4 linked regions of the Yarrowia lipolytica genome follow. The protein of the gene in region 3 purifies or fractionates together with the protein of the main gene of each other region. This does not show direct contact. Links are inferred from orthologs where the notes say so. Each region holds a gene or a part of one and is shown on either strand. Other genes may lie near its edges. The genes, in order: YALI1_F17907g, YALI1_B02091g, YALI1_C17949g and YALI1_F21261g.

What was found.
Region 1: the proteins of YALI1_C17949g (region 3) and YALI1_F17907g purify together in Saccharomyces cerevisiae (affinity purification with mass spectrometry; 4 studies listed by BioGRID, with this or other methods). This does not show direct contact. The link is inferred for Yarrowia lipolytica from reciprocal best matches to the Saccharomyces cerevisiae genes RPB4 and SPT4.
Region 2: the proteins of YALI1_C17949g (region 3) and YALI1_B02091g purify together in Saccharomyces cerevisiae (affinity purification with mass spectrometry; 3 studies listed by BioGRID). This does not show direct contact. The link is inferred for Yarrowia lipolytica from reciprocal best matches to the Saccharomyces cerevisiae genes RPB4 and SPT6.
Region 4: the proteins of YALI1_C17949g (region 3) and YALI1_F21261g purify together in Saccharomyces cerevisiae (affinity purification with mass spectrometry; 4 studies listed by BioGRID, with this or other methods). This does not show direct contact. The link is inferred for Yarrowia lipolytica from reciprocal best matches to the Saccharomyces cerevisiae genes RPB4 and TFG2.

Annotation. Positions count from the first base shown.
Region 1 is NC_090775.1:1,788,934-1,791,669, reverse strand, and holds YALI1_F17907g (uncharacterized protein), read right to left. Parts: upstream 951-2,736; coding exon 894-950; intron 849-893; coding exon 761-848; intron 698-760; coding exon 510-697; downstream 1-509. Other genes in the region: YALI1_F17912g (uncharacterized protein), read right to left, coding at 1-423; YALI1_F17836g (uncharacterized protein), read right to left, coding at 1,593-2,736.
Region 2 is NC_090771.1:207,556-214,436, reverse strand, and holds YALI1_B02091g (uncharacterized protein), read right to left. Parts: upstream 5,278-6,881; coding exon 5,098-5,277; intron 4,572-5,097; coding exon 531-4,571; downstream 1-530. Other genes in the region: YALI1_B02149g (uncharacterized protein), read left to right, coding at 1-95; YALI1_B02082g (uncharacterized protein), read left to right, coding at 6,036-6,145, 6,192-6,387; YALI1_B02073g (uncharacterized protein), read left to right, coding at 6,844-6,881. UniProt on the Saccharomyces cerevisiae protein: Histone H3-H4 chaperone that plays a role in maintenance of chromatin structure during RNA polymerase II transcription elongation thereby repressing transcription initiation from cryptic promoters.
Region 3 is NC_090772.1:1,792,958-1,796,036, reverse strand, and holds YALI1_C17949g (uncharacterized protein), read right to left. Parts: upstream 1,103-3,079; coding exon 566-1,102; downstream 1-565. Other genes in the region: YALI1_C17947g (uncharacterized protein), read left to right, coding at 1,327-1,896; YALI1_C17932g (uncharacterized protein), read left to right, coding at 2,754-3,079. UniProt on the Saccharomyces cerevisiae protein: DNA-dependent RNA polymerase catalyzes the transcription of DNA into RNA using the four ribonucleoside triphosphates as substrates. Component of RNA polymerase II which synthesizes mRNA precursors and many functional non-coding RNAs.
Region 4 is NC_090775.1:2,124,451-2,128,073, forward strand, and holds YALI1_F21261g (uncharacterized protein), read right to left. Parts: upstream 1,653-3,623; coding exon 552-1,652; downstream 1-551. Other genes in the region: YALI1_F21224g (uncharacterized protein), read left to right, coding at 1-422; YALI1_F21279g (uncharacterized protein), read left to right, coding at 3,456-3,623. UniProt on the Saccharomyces cerevisiae protein: TFIIF is a general transcription initiation factor that binds to RNA polymerase II.

The sequences.
Region 1 (2,736 bases), on a different chromosome or scaffold from region 3:
CGTGATTTTCACACCTGGACAAACGTGCGCAAACGCCTCGTCGCTGAAAAACGGCACATTGACGCTCATGACAGACCCCAACAGAGACGCCGTAGCCGGACCCACGCCTTTCAGCTCACTCAAGACCTTGATTGCTTCGATGATCTCGTCACCTGCAATCAGATGAGCCGCTTTTTGTGTTACTTGCTCCACCTCCTCGGCCCTGTTCGATTCCGCGAGCTGTTGCAGTTTTGGACGGAACGTGCCGCGTTTCAGCTTCCAGGTCATGAGTTTGGCGAGTTCACCGTGGGTCAGAGCACGGGGGTTTTCTCGTACGTCATCAGACAGCTGCTTACGCCACTCGTCCAGCTCGGCCAGCGTCTCCTTGCCTCCCTTCTTGGCCGACTTTGACGCCTTCAGCTGGAGCAACTCGTGGTAGTCCATGTGTAGAGTTTGGACCCCTCTTCACCATGTGCGTGCGCTTGAAGAATACATTGGCTTAGTAATATACATCCATTTATAAATACATGCTAATCCTGGGCAGAGCCGTCTCGAGGTCGGTAAACCACACCCTTGCTCTTCAGATCATCCACAATGTCCTGCGGCAACTTTCCATTCACCTTGACGGCATACAGACCGGGCTGGAAGCCGTCGATTCGCAGCCACTTGGACACCCACGATGAGCTGGGGTCACAGAGCGCCACCTGGCCTTCGAATGCTGGGGGTTAGTCAAAGCTTCAAACAAAAAGATCCATCAATTGTCGTCCCTCTTCATACTCACATGGACTGGTGCAGTCCTGTGTCAGACTATCGTCGGCCTTCATGTCGAGCACCGAATCGCAGTTAGGACATCCCTTGGAAATGAAAGCCTGGGTTAGTAGGTGAAACAATAGATCAGGTCACGTGATACTCACCTTGAGCGGCTGGACGATTCCACAGAGCATACATGCTCGCTCAGTTCGAGTAGACATGGTCGTTGGCGTGTTGGAAAAGTGCTGGCCCAGAGTTTGTCATGCGTCTCACAGATTATGACATGGTAGTGTGAAATGAACTTAAAATTTGTGAGTGGATGGAGTGAGATTGAAACGGTGCCAGGTACTGTACCTGTACAAATATGAAAATATATAATAAAAATTAAACCAGACTTGAGTTATTGCTCTCTTTTTTTGGTTATTTTATCGATTTAGGCATATTTTTTTGAGCTGTTACAGCCCCGTTTGTACATCTAAAGTCGCCTCCTAATAGACACAGTATATACAGTTCTTGGGAGTATCATCTTCGCACCCTTCCAACTAAAAGTCCGAGTAAAAATGGAAGTTAGATATTTACTAAAAATCTCATAATTCATATAAAATAACTATCAAAAGGGTATTTTATCTAGCCTCATAGATTTATTCCATCCCGCAAAAGTACTTGTTCTGACTTGTATATTGGTCACTTTCTACAAAATGTGGAACACGGCATTCAATCCCCCAGTCCATTTTTTTTTAAGTCAACTAAAGTCTAACAAGAGATTATTTATACGCAATTCTACCAAGTCTACATTCTGCAACCGCTCCGCTTCGGCTGCTTGTCATGGGTATAATGTATTTAAATATAAATGAAATGAACGATTAAACAAAGGAGGGCTCAAAGTTGGAGTTGTTGTTGACGTACGCCTCCAGCCGTGACTTCCAGTTCTCCAAATCCTTCTCCAGCCGTAGAGACTTTTCTCGCAGCTCTCTAGACTCTCGCTCTGCCCGTCGAGCCACCACCTGGTACTGCGACTCGCTTCCCTGTGCCTTCTCAACTGCTTCCACCAGTCGGTTCACCTTGGCCTCCGACTTGGCAGACTCCTCCTGCAGTCGCTTTACCAGCTGGTCACGCTGATCAAGCTGATCCCGGAGCTCACGTGCCTGACGGTCACCTCCTCGAGACGACTTGAGGTCAGCAAGCATATCCGACTGCTGCTGCTGGAGCTCTTTCTCGAGCTGAGACACCCGCTTTCTGAGGGCCTCGGTATCCCCTCCTCCAGAAGACAAAAGTCTTGACTCGAGATCGAGAATCTTGAGGTTGAGCTCCTTGGTCTGCTGCTCTGACTCTCGCTTCTGAGTCTGCATCACCCTGCGCTCACGCTCCAGAGCGGCCAGAGCGTCGGCAGCAGACTTCTCAGCAGTTCGAAGCTGCGTGGAAGACACCTGAGAGGAGGTTCGAGAGAGAGGCGTCTCACCGTGGCTCTTTAGAAGACTCTCGAGATCAACTGCCATGGTAGACACACGGCTTTCAAGAGCTCGTTTGTCCTTGAGCAGCTGGTCTCTGTCAGTGGCAATCTCGTCCATGGTGGTTCGCAGATTCTGAACCTGAGACAGCAGCGAAGCAACCCGCTTCTGGGCCTCGGAGTTGGCCTTTTCGTCAGCCTGGGCCTGCTGCTGAAGGTCGTGCACCTGTGCAGCCAGCCGGTCGTGCTCGTCGCGCCATTGCTTGGCCTCGGACTGCTCAAGCTCCCGCTGACGCTTCATAGCATCAGTCTGCTGCTGCAGCATCATGTTTTGCTGTCTTAGGGAAGACACGTTCTTGGTCTCGGCTGCCAGAGTCTTGGTCAGCTCAGCCAGCTCGCTCTTAGAACCCTCAAGACCCCGACCCTGTTCGGTCTCCAATCGTTTATGGGACCGCCGAAGAGTCGCCACCTCCATCTCCTTGTCCTCCAGCTGGTTCTCCAGACCCCGAACCTCAGCCTGCAGCTCAATCAGAGCAGTCTCGGCCTTTTGACGCTCGGCC
Region 2 (6,881 bases), on a different chromosome or scaffold from region 3:
GTTACTACGACGTGAAGGATCCCGTGTTTGATTTGATCATGGAGGGGGCCAAGGAGTGGGAACTGCGACAGAAACAAACTGGAACCTCGACGTAGGAGAGGTTTCGTTTGTTACTAGATTATCTGACTTTGACATGTTCGGCAAAAGTGTCGCAATCGCTTATCATATTCGCCTGTTGCACCCGACAAGCGATCTGCCATCACCAATCTTACTCGGGCTTTAGTCCTGTTTGGACACCAGAGCTAATATCAACTTCAAGCACGCAGTGGAGTTTCCGAGATATAACGGACGACGTTCGCTCGAAAGATAGGACGAAGCGACCAGCTACAGAGGTCCGATGATTCAGCTGCAGGGCGATATAGGATGAAGAGATACTGTAGACGTCTCTGTAGTACAGTACTAGAATGTGAAAGTGTGCGCGTACACGAACGAAACACTTGGAGGAATGGATAGCCCAAGACACATCCAACAGCGTCGTTACGACTCGCTCTCGGATTACTTTCATTACAACAATCAATTAATATACACAACTATCTTCTCTGAGTCTTGCTCTTGAACAAGGTCTTGAACCCGTTGCACAGCTTCATGACATCAGGGTACTTTTCTCCACCCAACTGGTAGCCTCCAGGAATCACCTTGACGGGCCAGTCAAGCATGGGACTCTTCTGGTCCGTCTTAACCAGCAAATGGAAGTAGCCAGCCTTTTTGGACGACAGCACAAACCGGTACACGGCTCGTTTCGAACCACCTCGTAGATACGAGTCCATACTCTGCTCCGTCTCGGCAATGGAGTCGGCCGAGTACTTGTCCGAATGGCACAGCTCGTCTACCTTTCGAGCCATGGACTTGACATGCATGGCGATGAGCTCATCGAGATCGGAGTACTTGGAGGTGCCGACCATGAGAGTCTTTCCAAGCGCATACTCGTTTTCCTTGCCGAGCTCCACGACGTCAATGTGCTGGTAAATGCCATCACCGACCTTCCACGTGACGGCAATGTGATCTGTGCCACGTGACGAGGGTCTGATGACAAGCTCTCCACGGGGAAGTGTAGAGAGGAACTTTTCGGCATCGGAGCCAGAGAAGAGCTTGAACAGAGGATGCTTGATGACTCGAGTCTTTCGCTGCTCCACCTCACGACGCACCTCCTGGGCGGACTTGTCGGCGGCCTCCGCTTCAAAGTCCCATTGATCTCGCGGTCTCTTCACCTGACGGGCTCGTTTTTGCGCGTCAGAAATGTCTCGGTGGAGACACGACAACTCTGCGGAGAAATTCGAGTATGACACCTCCATGACGACCGCTCGAATCGTCTGTTGATGGTGAAACAGCGCCGACGGATGCACTCCTCGCTGGTCGGTGATCCGGTCCTGGGTCACGTTGCCCTGAATTCCGCACGAAAGACGCACCGCAAGGTATCTGTCGGAGATTCTTCTAATCTGCACCGCCACGACGGAACCGGGATGCAGCGATTTTTCCGTCTCTCCGGTGAGCATAGTGAAGACCTCAAGGTCGGTCAGCACGTGTAACGGCTCCCGCAGCTCCTCGTAGTGGTTGATGAGCTCTCTTCGGATCATCTCCAGAGTGTACCGCTTCTTCTTGCCGAGTTTCTGCTCGAGTTCCTCGGCGTAGCCCTCCAGAATGAGCTCGTTGAGCTTCTCGGCGCCCTCCTTCATCAGTTGAGCAATAACTCCTCCCTCGGACTCAAACTCCAGAAGATCTTCCTCGTCGAGCTCAAGGGCATCAGCAGCCATCTTTTTCGCCAGTTCGTAATCCTCAATATGGATTCGAGTGGCGTCCAGAAGTTCCGTCTCCTCGTGACGAACCGATCGCTTGTCGTAAGGAAGACGCAGGAACGAAGCCACGTTCATAAAGACATTCTTTCCACACAGCTTCTCGGTGATGAGATCCAGACGAGTGCCGAGATAGCCACGAGACTGGATTTTGTGAGTCAGACCAGACGCCTTTCGGGGGCCCAAACCAGCAATGTAGGGCAGCATTCGAGCCACGTAAGCGTCTCTAATGGCCTCATTGATGTCGACTCCCACGAGATTGACGTAATCGACAAAAGTCGAGTCCACGGCCTCGTAGAAGCGGTCCTCAGAAATCAACGACTGGAAATCCACCATGGGAATCGCCTTGATTTCCTTGCCCAGCGAAAGATACTCCAGCAGGGGGCTCTGAACATACCGCGCAAGAGCCACACAGTACCGTTCCAGAGGAGGCGAGTCTGCAAACTCCACCAGGGCACCGGCGGAGTTTCTGAACAGGCAGGCAACCTCATCCTGCACCCATCGCACCTCCAGAGGCTCTCCCTCGGCCTCCAGACCCTGCGTTCGAACAACCTCTTCAATCACGCTCTTGAGTCTGTGGGATTGGACTGTCTGGCCCGAGAAGGCGATAAGATCGGGAGTTCGACGCTTGACCATCTCGGACAGCGCGTTGGTGAACTCCTGGGTTTGTGGAGCTCCGAGCTTGGCCCGTTCAGCCACTCGGCCTTCCTCATCGACAAAAACGCCAACCACGGCGTCTCGTCGAAAATCAGCCTGGCCGGCAGAAAGCGCCAACACTCTTGGAACTGTGCCCTTTTCGTAGTTTCGCGGCTTGAAAGGAGCCTGGTTCAACTTTCTGCCAAACATGCGACGCAGCTCAAAGAAGAGTTGCCGCTCACAGTCGTTCCTCAACTCCTCCTTGATAGATCGAGTGACCATGGGAACGAGAGTCTTCATTGCAATTCGAACCACCGCCCGTCGCTGGGTGTTCCATTGACTGGCAATGTCAGACACGCCATCGCTCTGCAGCTTACTCAGCAGAAGATCGATGAACTTGGTTTTGAAATCAGGGTACGACACTCGGACATTCACCAGGCCCTTAGCCTCGGCCTGCAGCATCTGAAGGTACAGTTTGGGCGATTTTCTGAGCTCCTCAAATGACAGATTTCGCGAGTACTTGAACTCGTAAGCTGGGTGTGCTTCGTCAATCTGACTGGAACCCGCCTCGGTTGCATACACGTCAATCTTGGCGAGCTGCGCAAACTGCTGACGCACATACCGCCGCACCCGCGGGTCAAATGCCAGCTCCATGGCAAACATCTGAGTCGCGCTCTCGAGCGCCGATGCGGCGTCACTCAGGACCAGGCTGGAATCGTTCAAATAGTCGGTGGCAAGGTCAGCTGGAGCTCGCGCGTTATCCTCTGTGTAGTTGATACGCGTGGAGGTTTCCAGGTTCTCTGCAAACTCGTCGGAGGAGATACCAAACTGTCTGACCAGACCATACAGCTTGCTGGCTCGAATTCGGTCGTATCTGGCGTACCGAGAATGTCGCTTCGACGACCCGGACTGCAAATCGCCGAGCTCGCCGGAAAACCGAAATTGCACATACTCAATGGCGTCTTGAGTGTCCTGCAACGAGGCAGAGTTGGCGAAATCGTTGATGAATGAATGGTTTCCAGTCTTGGACACTCCCGCTTGGGTTCGCAACCGCTCCAGCTGCTGCTGTTTCTCCACAATGCCGTGGTAATCGAGATCAAGCTGCACAATCATCCACAGGTCGTCCAGAGACAGCAACTCGACGGTTGTGTACTCAATCTCCTTGGTTTCTTCGGTGGTGGATGCCACAGGTGCCTCCAACGTCGGCTCATACTCGTCATCCTCAACCTTGGCCTTGAACTTTTCATGTTTCGAAACATGGGTAAGAAAGTCTCGACGATGATGCCAGATGAACGGAACCTCGAGATTCTCCTTGGCAATGAACTCCAGTACCTTGGAGACCGCAGTCTCGTACTCGGAATCGAGGTGGGGCGGAACATGCTCCTGTTTCATGGTCTTCAAACGGCTAGCCACCCACTCGCACTCCTTGGAAAAGTCCTCGTCCGACAGATCGTACTTGTCGATCGACTGACGCAGAAGCTGGTACCGCTCGGGCTCGTCACGTGCCCGGATGTCATTATCCTCGTCGGTCAGGAGTCGTTCTCTCAGCTCAGACGGCTCGAACACGTCTCTGAGCTCTGGACCAGCACGTCCCTCGTCCTCGTACTCCTCCTGGGCACGCTCGCGGTCCTCCTCCGCGTCCAGGGCCCATGCGTACTCCTCTCCGTCGCCAAACACTTCGTAGATCTCGTTGAGCTTGTCATCATCGATGCCCACGTCCTTGGAAAGGAACGCGGCCGGAGCGCCAGTGGCACGTGACTCTCGCTGCGACTCACGTCCCCGTGTTGGTGCGTCATCCTCACTGAACTCGTCGTCTTCAATGAAGTCGTCGAACTCGTTGCGCTGTTCGACCGGCGCGGGCTGTTCTTCCTCGTCGGAGAACATGTCGGCGAGTCCCTTCTGGCGGTCGGAGGAGTCGTCATCGCCTGCTCGCTTGAGACGCTTAAAGTGCCGTTCTCGGGGCGCGCCCGTGTTCTCCATGAGGAGGTCCAAATCATCTTCGTCGAGATGGTCGTTCTCGGCGGGCGTGGGGGGTTTGTCGTCGGTGTCTTCGGGGATCACTCGTCGTCGTTTCTTGAGTTTTCGTCTCGGTTTGTCCACTTCTTCTTCCTCTTCGTCGTCGTCCACAATGAAGCCTTGTCGGACCTGGGTTAGTATTATGTTGGAGCAGCTCCAGTAGTGCGCAGTGTCAGGTTAGACAGTCGAGTGCCGAGACTGGATAGAACGGCGAGTATCTCGTCGTCAGCGGGATCTGGCACTGCCAGTAATTCTAAGACGACGATTGACTGAGTCTTGGATCTGTTTACTGTGCTAGGATTGTTCCTGATGGCAACCGCGATTGTTCAGATGAAAACTGTGATTTCTCAGATGAAAACTGTGGTTGGTGATCCGCTGAACTGAACCAACCAGACAGAACATTGCCAGCATCAAATGAGACCCGCGACTCTATGGAGATGAGACCCGCGGCACTACGGAGATGAGCGAAACGAATCTCCAGTCTTTTAATGGAATCGAGATTCGCTTAGTTCATCTCAAATCCACTCGAGATTCGATTCCTCGTCTCTCCAAATCGAGATTCGATTCCTCATCTCTCCAAATCCACTCGAGATTCGCTTCGCTCATCTCGTCATCTCGTCATCTCGTCATCTCGTCATATCGACACTTCACTCACCCTAGCAATCTCCTCCTCATCATCATCATCCTCCTCCTCACTACTATCATCCATCTCTTCATTGTCATTGTCGTTGTCTTCGCCGTTTTCGTGACGATCGTCATCACGGACGTCGATTTCGTCCTCGTCCATCTTGACCTTGACCGAATCAACGTCGCTGGCACTAGCGGGGGACGACATGGTGGGTTGGTGTTGACGTGTTGTGGTGGTGCTGACAACAATATGTTTTTCAGGGTTAGGTCACGTGGAACAGAGGTGGGAATAACGAGCAAAAAAAATAAAAAAAAATTCGTCTGAATAAAAACAATAAAAATAAAAACCCAAAAGAAAACACCACAAAACCATGGTCGATCAAGACGACGGAAAAATAAACAGAAAAAACTATACAGAAAACCAGGAAAATCACGTGATCACAGAAACACACGCCTCCTAATTCTGTCTATTTTCCCCATTTTTATTTACTGGATAGACTCTCCGAGTCGGAGGAAGTTTAAAATTTCCAGTGGGAGTTTTGAACCGAGTTTTCAAATAGAATTAAATAGAATTAAATAGAATTAAATTAAATTAAATTAAATAAATTAAATAAAATTAAATAAAATAAAATAAAATAAATAAATAAATAAAATAAAAAAATAAATTCGTTTTAGAAAACTGGCGAAAAATATAAAAAAATAAAAAAAAAAACAAAGAAAACAACACTTCCAGGTCAGAGACTTGTACGAGTCCATACCGTGTGGAATAATTTGGTTCAAACTACAACTACGATGAAATGAGATAGCCGGTGAAAAAGCGAAGTTCTACCCTGATTTTTTAATCAATTCTAATGACCCTGAGTACGATCCACACCACGACAGTGTCTCAACCTCCAAACGACACTCACACAAGCAGACGAGGCGATTATTGAGCTGGCGAGCTTCTAATCGGATTTGTCTCCATCAATGTACAGCTTCTTCAAGTTTCAGTCCCTCATAGAGCCAGGGCTCGTCAGAAAAGGCACCTGGAGAGAACATCATATACTCCCCAGAGTATCTTCCCCGACTGAGGGATGGTTGACAGTCGTTTGACCTGAGAATCTCTCTACGGAGCCCATCCAGTCGGACTCCAGAAAGCTGTTTGTCTCCGGGCCGAATGCGACAACCCCGGGGCTTAAGAGTTTGTGAGCCGGTATGCCTTCAAGGCCTCAAAAAACAAAACGAATGCGCTCCAGGCATGACCGCTTCATCTACAAGCTCCATGTCGGGTTTTTGGACTCAGTTCAAGGTCTCTTTTGGGGCCTCTTTCTTTGAATAGGCACTCAATGAAACCTTTCGTGATCCTCCTACACCAAAGGATGAGGACCCCACAGAACTCCTCAAAGTGTCTCAATCCGACCAGAGCTGTTATCCCGCGTGTCGAGTCTCCCCAGCAACTAGTCTCGCTATCTGATGTTATTCTTGAACGCACACTATTGGCATCTTTGCCAATTCACCGCCATCCCTGAGTGCTACTGTACAGTACCCGGGTATTCATTTCAACTCCAAGGACAACGTGGAAAAGAACTACGTGAGAATATTATCGAAAGCTGAAAGCTCTTCGTCAGTATGCTCTCTTTGGCCTCAAACGCCACCCCACGGCCTGGATGCTGAACATGTCCTTGTCCAGGACAGTTGGCGTGACCAGTTTATGAAGAACGACTCACGTTGGATCACGTTGGATCACGTTGGATCACGTTGGATCACGTTGAAATGACGTTGGAATCACGTTGGAATGACGTTGGAATCACGGTTGAAACGAACCTGTCTCAA
Region 3 (3,079 bases):
CTAGTAGGCCAGGTTATTGGCATTCAATAAATCATACACTTGTAAATCGTTTATTTTTATTATTATAATTTTTGCTGACTAAGTAAATCCTGGATATGGATAAACACGACTTTTTTAAAAGAAAAATCGCCTGGCTAGCTCAATCGGTAGAGCGTGAGACTCTTACTCTAAGGTCATCTCAAGGCTGTGGGTTCAAGCCCCACGTCGGGCTGATCTTTTTTTGCCTTTTTTGGCCATTTTTTTTGCTTACTAAGATTCAGAATATATATACCGCGATGGAGCCAACCGAGAGCATCCTGACGACAATGAAAAATACCTGATATGTTCATGAATGGAGGGACTGTGTGTGTTTGGGCATGTGTTCTCGTGGGTACAAGTGTATGTATCGACAGTAAGTACAGTACCGTTTAAACGGCAGTGTGAACTCGGTAATTCCGTAGTCATGTTGTGTCATATCTCTTTGAGTACATCAGCTACTCGTACCACATTAGCCTGTGGTCCACATACCCGCTGTTATACAATATATATTACCCACCTTGTAGCACCATTTATAATACAGCACCGTTTAGTTTTCTCGGTCATGTTCTCTGACCAGATCCAGCAGCTCCTGGAGCTGGGCGTCGGTTCGCTTGGCAGCCAGAGAGGGAATCAGAGTTTTGGCCTCCTCGGCTCCATCACACGACAGAGTTCCGAGCTGGGCGATTTCAAACGGATGCAGATCGGCGTTGTCTTGGTGACGCAGAATCTGGGCCACCGCAGCCACCTTTTGCTGTTCTCGGAACCGCGAGAAGATGTTCATGTACTCCCGGGTCTTTCGCAGCACGTCATTGGCGTTGATCTCCTCCTCGTCGTCCAGGGTATCGTCTTCCGTGTTCTCAATACCCAATGCGTCATTCTTTCGCTTCTTGAGCGTATGGTTAATGAGAGATCGGGCCTCTGAGGTCGACAGAGCTGTGAGGGCGGTCTCAAACCCGTCGTGGGTGTATTGGGTCACGTCGAACTCGGGTCCGAGTTTCAGCTGGGCTGCATCCTCGTCCTGCACCGCGTTGACGGTCGTGGGCTTTCGTCGCTGCTGCTGAACAGTACTTGTAGACACGTTCATTGTTGTGTGTGTGTGTGTCTTGTGTGGTTTTGTGGGTTGATGATCACAGACAGTGGTGTTTCCACCAGTGCATATTGGACTGAAGATTAAAATCCACTCGGTTCGAATCCCCGCTGGGTAGGCTAATTTACGCCATTTGGGTCACGCGTTAAGTCTAAATTATACGCGTCAGATCAACTGGTACACTGGCAGGGCACAAGAAACAGCACCAAACACTGACAAAAATGCCTCCTTCAACTACGCTCATTCTGGCAGCCACAGTGCCCCGATATGGCATCGGACTCAATGGAGGACTTCCATGGAGACTAGCCAAAGAAATGAAGTTCTTCAAACAGGTGACTACAGCCCAGAAGAACGCCGTCGTCATCATGGGACGAACCACCTGGGACTCCATTCCCCCCAAGTTCAGACCTCTTCCTGATCGAACCAACATTGTTCTCACTTCTAGACCCATGACTGACGCTCCCGAGGAGGTTGTAGTCGCCCGGTCGTTCGACGAAGCGCTTACAAAGTGCCCCGAGGATTCTACCGTTTACGTCATCGGCGGATCTCAGGTTTACAAGACCGCGCTGGTCCACGAACATACAAAGGCCGTGCTTTTGACAGAAATTACCTGTCCCGACGGCCACGTGGAATGTGACACCTTCTTCGAGGGCTTTGACCAGGGTCTGTGGAAGAAGCAGCCTTATGAACGTCTCCAAGACTTTGTGGGAGACAAGGTGGAGCTTCCTGGACGAGATACTCCTGTGGAAGAGAAGGGCTTTTCTTTCGTTTACACCTTGTGGGAGAAATAAGCGGATTCAAGCTGGATCCTGTTGGAATGCCGCTGCCTGTGGTCGTTGTACTGGCTATGCGACTGGCCTGAACTCGGATATCTCCTGTTGGCTGGTATCTCAATTGTTGGCTGGTATCTCAATTGTTGGCTGGTATCTCAATTGATGACTGATATCTACCGAAACTGAACCCTAGGGAGTCGGCCTTATGATCATGGCTACGGAGTATCTCAGCCTGTGTCTGACCCTGTCTCAACACCTTGGCTTACGAGCACCAAAATTGTAATGTAACATGTTTTAAATGACTGGTTGAAGATCCGTCAGACCAACCATCATTGGACTGACGCCCAAAGGCTATCCAGGGCATATTTATCTACTTGTAGCTACAATACCACTGTTGTCAAGTTGAAATTTACCTGCATGTCCAATGACGATGAAGTTTGTTTAAATTTTTTTATTAGAGTTTTCAAAAAAAAAAGGGAGAAAAAAAGGAAATTTTTTATATTTTTCTGTCGATTTTCGGGGTGTTTTAGAAATATTCGAAATTCATCCATGAAATAAGTAATGAATTCTATATATACATACATTTAATGCCATCAAAGAGAGAACCGGGAGTGTGTCTGTTATCTTGGAACTGTTATTCTGCTACTACAGGTACGAGTATGACGAGTACAGCCCTGTATTTTTTTTTTCATAAATATGATTTAAAACCGAATTAAATCGAATTAAAAACTACAAATAAATCCAGAGGAGCCAGAAACGGGCTCGCCCCGAAGCTCTTGCTTCTGTAATGCTGGCTTTGCTGTCGGATTTATGGTTATCCAGAACAGCTTGTTGTACTTGTAGTTCGCATTTCTCAGCGAAAAATATTCTACTGCATGAAAGGTAATTTTTTGCAAGTGATCAAACGTCTGATTCCGTTGAAAGGCCGATTTTTCCCCGTCACCATGAGCGAACCTACCACCACCCCCGTCGTCGGCAACAGTGCGTCCGGCGACTCGGCTGAGCAGCACGATCTCGGCCAGAAGCGAGGCAAGGGAGGCAACTGGAACCGACCTCGAGGCGATCACCAGGCCAAGAAGCAGAAGATGGACCGACGAGGCGACCGACAACGAGAGCAGGAGAAGCAGGGCGAGGGCCGAGATACACGTCGAAAGACGGACGGTCCTCTGGTGGCCGACGAGGTGCGACAGCCCAAGCGAAA
Region 4 (3,623 bases), on a different chromosome or scaffold from region 3:
CACCTCAGAGAAGTCCTGCCAAGTCTTTGAAGACTACTAATTCTCCCATGGTGACCATAAAGTCCCCTGTGAAGGAGTTTGCGGTTCCTAATCAGTACATTGCTCCCGGATCGGTTTCTTCTACAGTTACAATGTCTCAGAGCCCCAAGAGAAGCCCGAAAAAGTACGGACAATTGGACAGATTCCACATTGGATGTCCGGAGGCTGAGATACGTTCAGTCTCTGGCAGCTCCACTACGTCGACCACTTCTTCTGTGTCCGTTTTCTCGGATTCTTGTGATCTGCCGTCGTCAGATGAAGAAGATCCAGAGTACGCTGCTTTGATGATGCAACAACGACGTCAGATTTCAAGAGGCCTACCGAAGAAGAGATCTGACCAGCCTCGTCTATCTGTTTTCAACTGGGATAAGGATGTCTTCTAATCGTCACGATGTTTTCAACTTCAACTTCATACCCCATTAACCAAGAACTGACCTATTTATTCACTCATTTATATAGTCAATGATATTTATATTTATTCACCTAACCCATGTGCAAACCACTTGTCAAATCTACAACACAGTCTCCATCTCAACATCATCGTCATCATCGTCTGCACCATCGTCTTCCTCCTGGGCACCTGCAGAATTGGACAGCTGCTTGTACTCCTGTTGCAGGGAGTATTTCATGGCATAAGGACCAGACTTGTTGAGAACAGCCATGCTATCGAGTACCTCTCGAAGGTACACTTCAGGCTGCTTGGTTCGTTCCTTAAGACCCTTGAGCGACCAGTAGGGGTACTCTTCGAACAGCTTGAAGAGGATATCCAGAAGCGCAGATCGCTCGATCCGAACGGCCTTTCCGTCCAGCTTGATATCCTTCTTCTGGGCCTTCATGAAGTGCGACTGAGAGCCAGTGCCACGCAGGTTGGGGGCATTGGAAGAAGCCACCACGCCGGGGAGGTCGTTGAGCAGAGTGACTCGGGCAGCAGGAGGCTGTTGCAGTCGCTCCTTTCGCTTCTGAATGACCTTTTTGTAATTTGCGTCCTTGAGTGACGGCACAACTGTGCATTCGTGGATTACTCGGCCGGCCAGCGCCGTTTTCTTGGGGATTGTTCGTGCAAATGGAAATGCTGATGGCTTTGAGACCTTTCCTGCTGACGATGACGCTGCCGACGACGACGAGCCGGCTCCACTACTGCCGGCCTCCTCCTTTTCTTTTTCCTTTTCCTTCTTCTGCTCCTTCTCCGTGAACACAAACGTGTTGTTGACCACCTCCTTGACGATATCCAACTCATACTCATGTGGAATCTCACTGTTTTCGGGCGTATCACTTAGGCGCAAAGACACCTTTTGTTTCTCGCCGGGAGCTGTGTTTTCCTTGATCAGCACCTGGCCGAGTCGCTTGTTAGTGTGTTCATCCAGATGGCTCCACTTGTCCACCAAAAACTTGGGCAGTCGCACCAACCATACCCGGTTTTCGAGTCCCGCAGTATCCAGGTCGAAAGATCCATCGTCGGCATCAACAGGAGGAGGAGGAATCTTAACATCTTCCTCTTCGGGCTTGACCTCAGATTTCACGTTCATCTTGTCTGTGCGAATGTCGTGAGGAAACGATGATGGAAATGTATCTATCTCGATCAGCGAAACCGCCAAAGTGCTGAGGTTCTGCATATATGAACTTTCTTGGTGAAGTTTAAATATGGTACCGTAGGTAATGTATGGACATGTACCTAATGATGGGTGATTGAAGAGTTGCGGGTATAGTTTTTCCGAGATATTCTTCTCGAATTACTGGTATATATTTGCTAGACTACCTTTTTTCAGTTTTAATGGTCATTGCATGCCCCAATTGTGTGGTCGTGGTGACAGTTTGGGTTGCTCTCGATGGTCAACTATAGAGCTGTCAAACGAGAGGAATAACAGTTGGAAAGTTAGTTGAAGTATGAGATGCTCCAAGTTCGAGTTCTGTTCAAGTCGATTCAAACAAAAGCCCCATCTTGACACCAGTTTGGGTCCTCTTTGTGTGCTATAATACGAGTATTAAAGAGGATATTAATCAGCTTGGCCAGTAACGAAGGTTGAGGAAGGACTTCGGAAGGCTCCAATACCCCATTGTTACTAAGCATTAATGCAAAGCATTATTACTAAGCAAAAAAACTTACATTGTCGCCACCTTAGTAAGCTGCAAAAAACAGAGATTGCAGCACCCAGGATTCTCGTATGGTCTCCCACTACAATACTAACTAGGCTCTCTGGTGCTTGACTATGGCTGATCGGACGGGAAGCCGTATTTTCACCAGGATATGGCCGCAACCGTTAGGACCAAAAACCGTTAGACTGTTTTGAGAAGACAGATTAGTCACGTGATCGCAAAAGTTGGTGTCAATTTTAGACCCTTTGAAGGGGGATTTTTGGTATAAGAAAGGGATATGTATGCTAAGCATGACTCTGCGCATGTCTCTGTGCCACTCGCAATCAATGATATCGACGAAATATGTTGAAATTGAGACATATTATGATGTTTGGGGTGGATTGTCCAAGTTCCCACTGTACGCACGAGTATGTACTGTATTCTGGAATATTAGCAATAGTACACACGCAATTGGGCAGCAGAATGATCACAAATGTGCAATTCAATTGAATTTGACCCCATAACCCTCTCCGTATCTCTCGCGCGCACATCTGCACCGGATCTCCACCTTCATGGTTCCGTTTCTTCCCGCATGTGCTGCTTTGTCGATCAATACAATCAGCCGAGGGTCGGCAATCACATTGGGCGTTCTCATAACTGTTGATCCGCTAGCAATAGAGGTCAGCTCACCTTTTTGCCTTTGATCTAACCCAGAAGTCTCGGGTTCAGGCACCCTGAGACACACAGCTCACCTATACCTGCGCAGCAGAGTTCACCGCCGTTAGACCGAACTGCAATCAAAGTAACTTTCCGAGGAAGAGTTGAGGGGAATATGAGCGGTCTGTCAGTGAGTGTAGAAGAGACGTATGTAAGAATACATGTACACAAGGTCGAGTTCATCGATGTATCTTAGGTAGTGGCCTCGAGAAGAGATTCAGAGCTACAAGATGTTGTTTCTGGACGGCATATTTCGAGTGAAGGTCAGAGTTACTTGCGCTTAAAACTAACTAGTTCTATTGTCCTTGTTGAAAGTTACTTAATATGAACTGAAAAAATCCCATTGGTTGAGTGTGAGGAGAAGTTCGGACTAAAGCAACGAGACGTGGGCAAGAGCGTTACAAGGATAGTATGGAGTCTTCCAAGAGTGTGAAAATTGCATGTTTGTATCGGAAAAAGGTTTTCTGACTAAGCAACTGCCTCGATTTCTCATTTTCAAGGCGACTTGGTGGTGTCGCCTACCTCTCCATATCTGGTCATGGTCGTGCCTCGATAAAGTTGGCAGAGGAAAAAAAGAAGAACGCTGTTTTTAAGGTTGGCACAAAATGTGTTCTGCAGCTGCATAGATGTATGTGCAGCATCGCAAAAAAACGCTACTTCATTCACAACACACAAAAATGGATTTTGCAGCACTGATTCAGGGCGAAATCTCCAAGAAGAAAGCTGGAACGGGAGTGGCAGACTACGGCTGTAAGGCAGCGGCTCCCAAGCCCGCCCAGACGACAGTTTCCGAC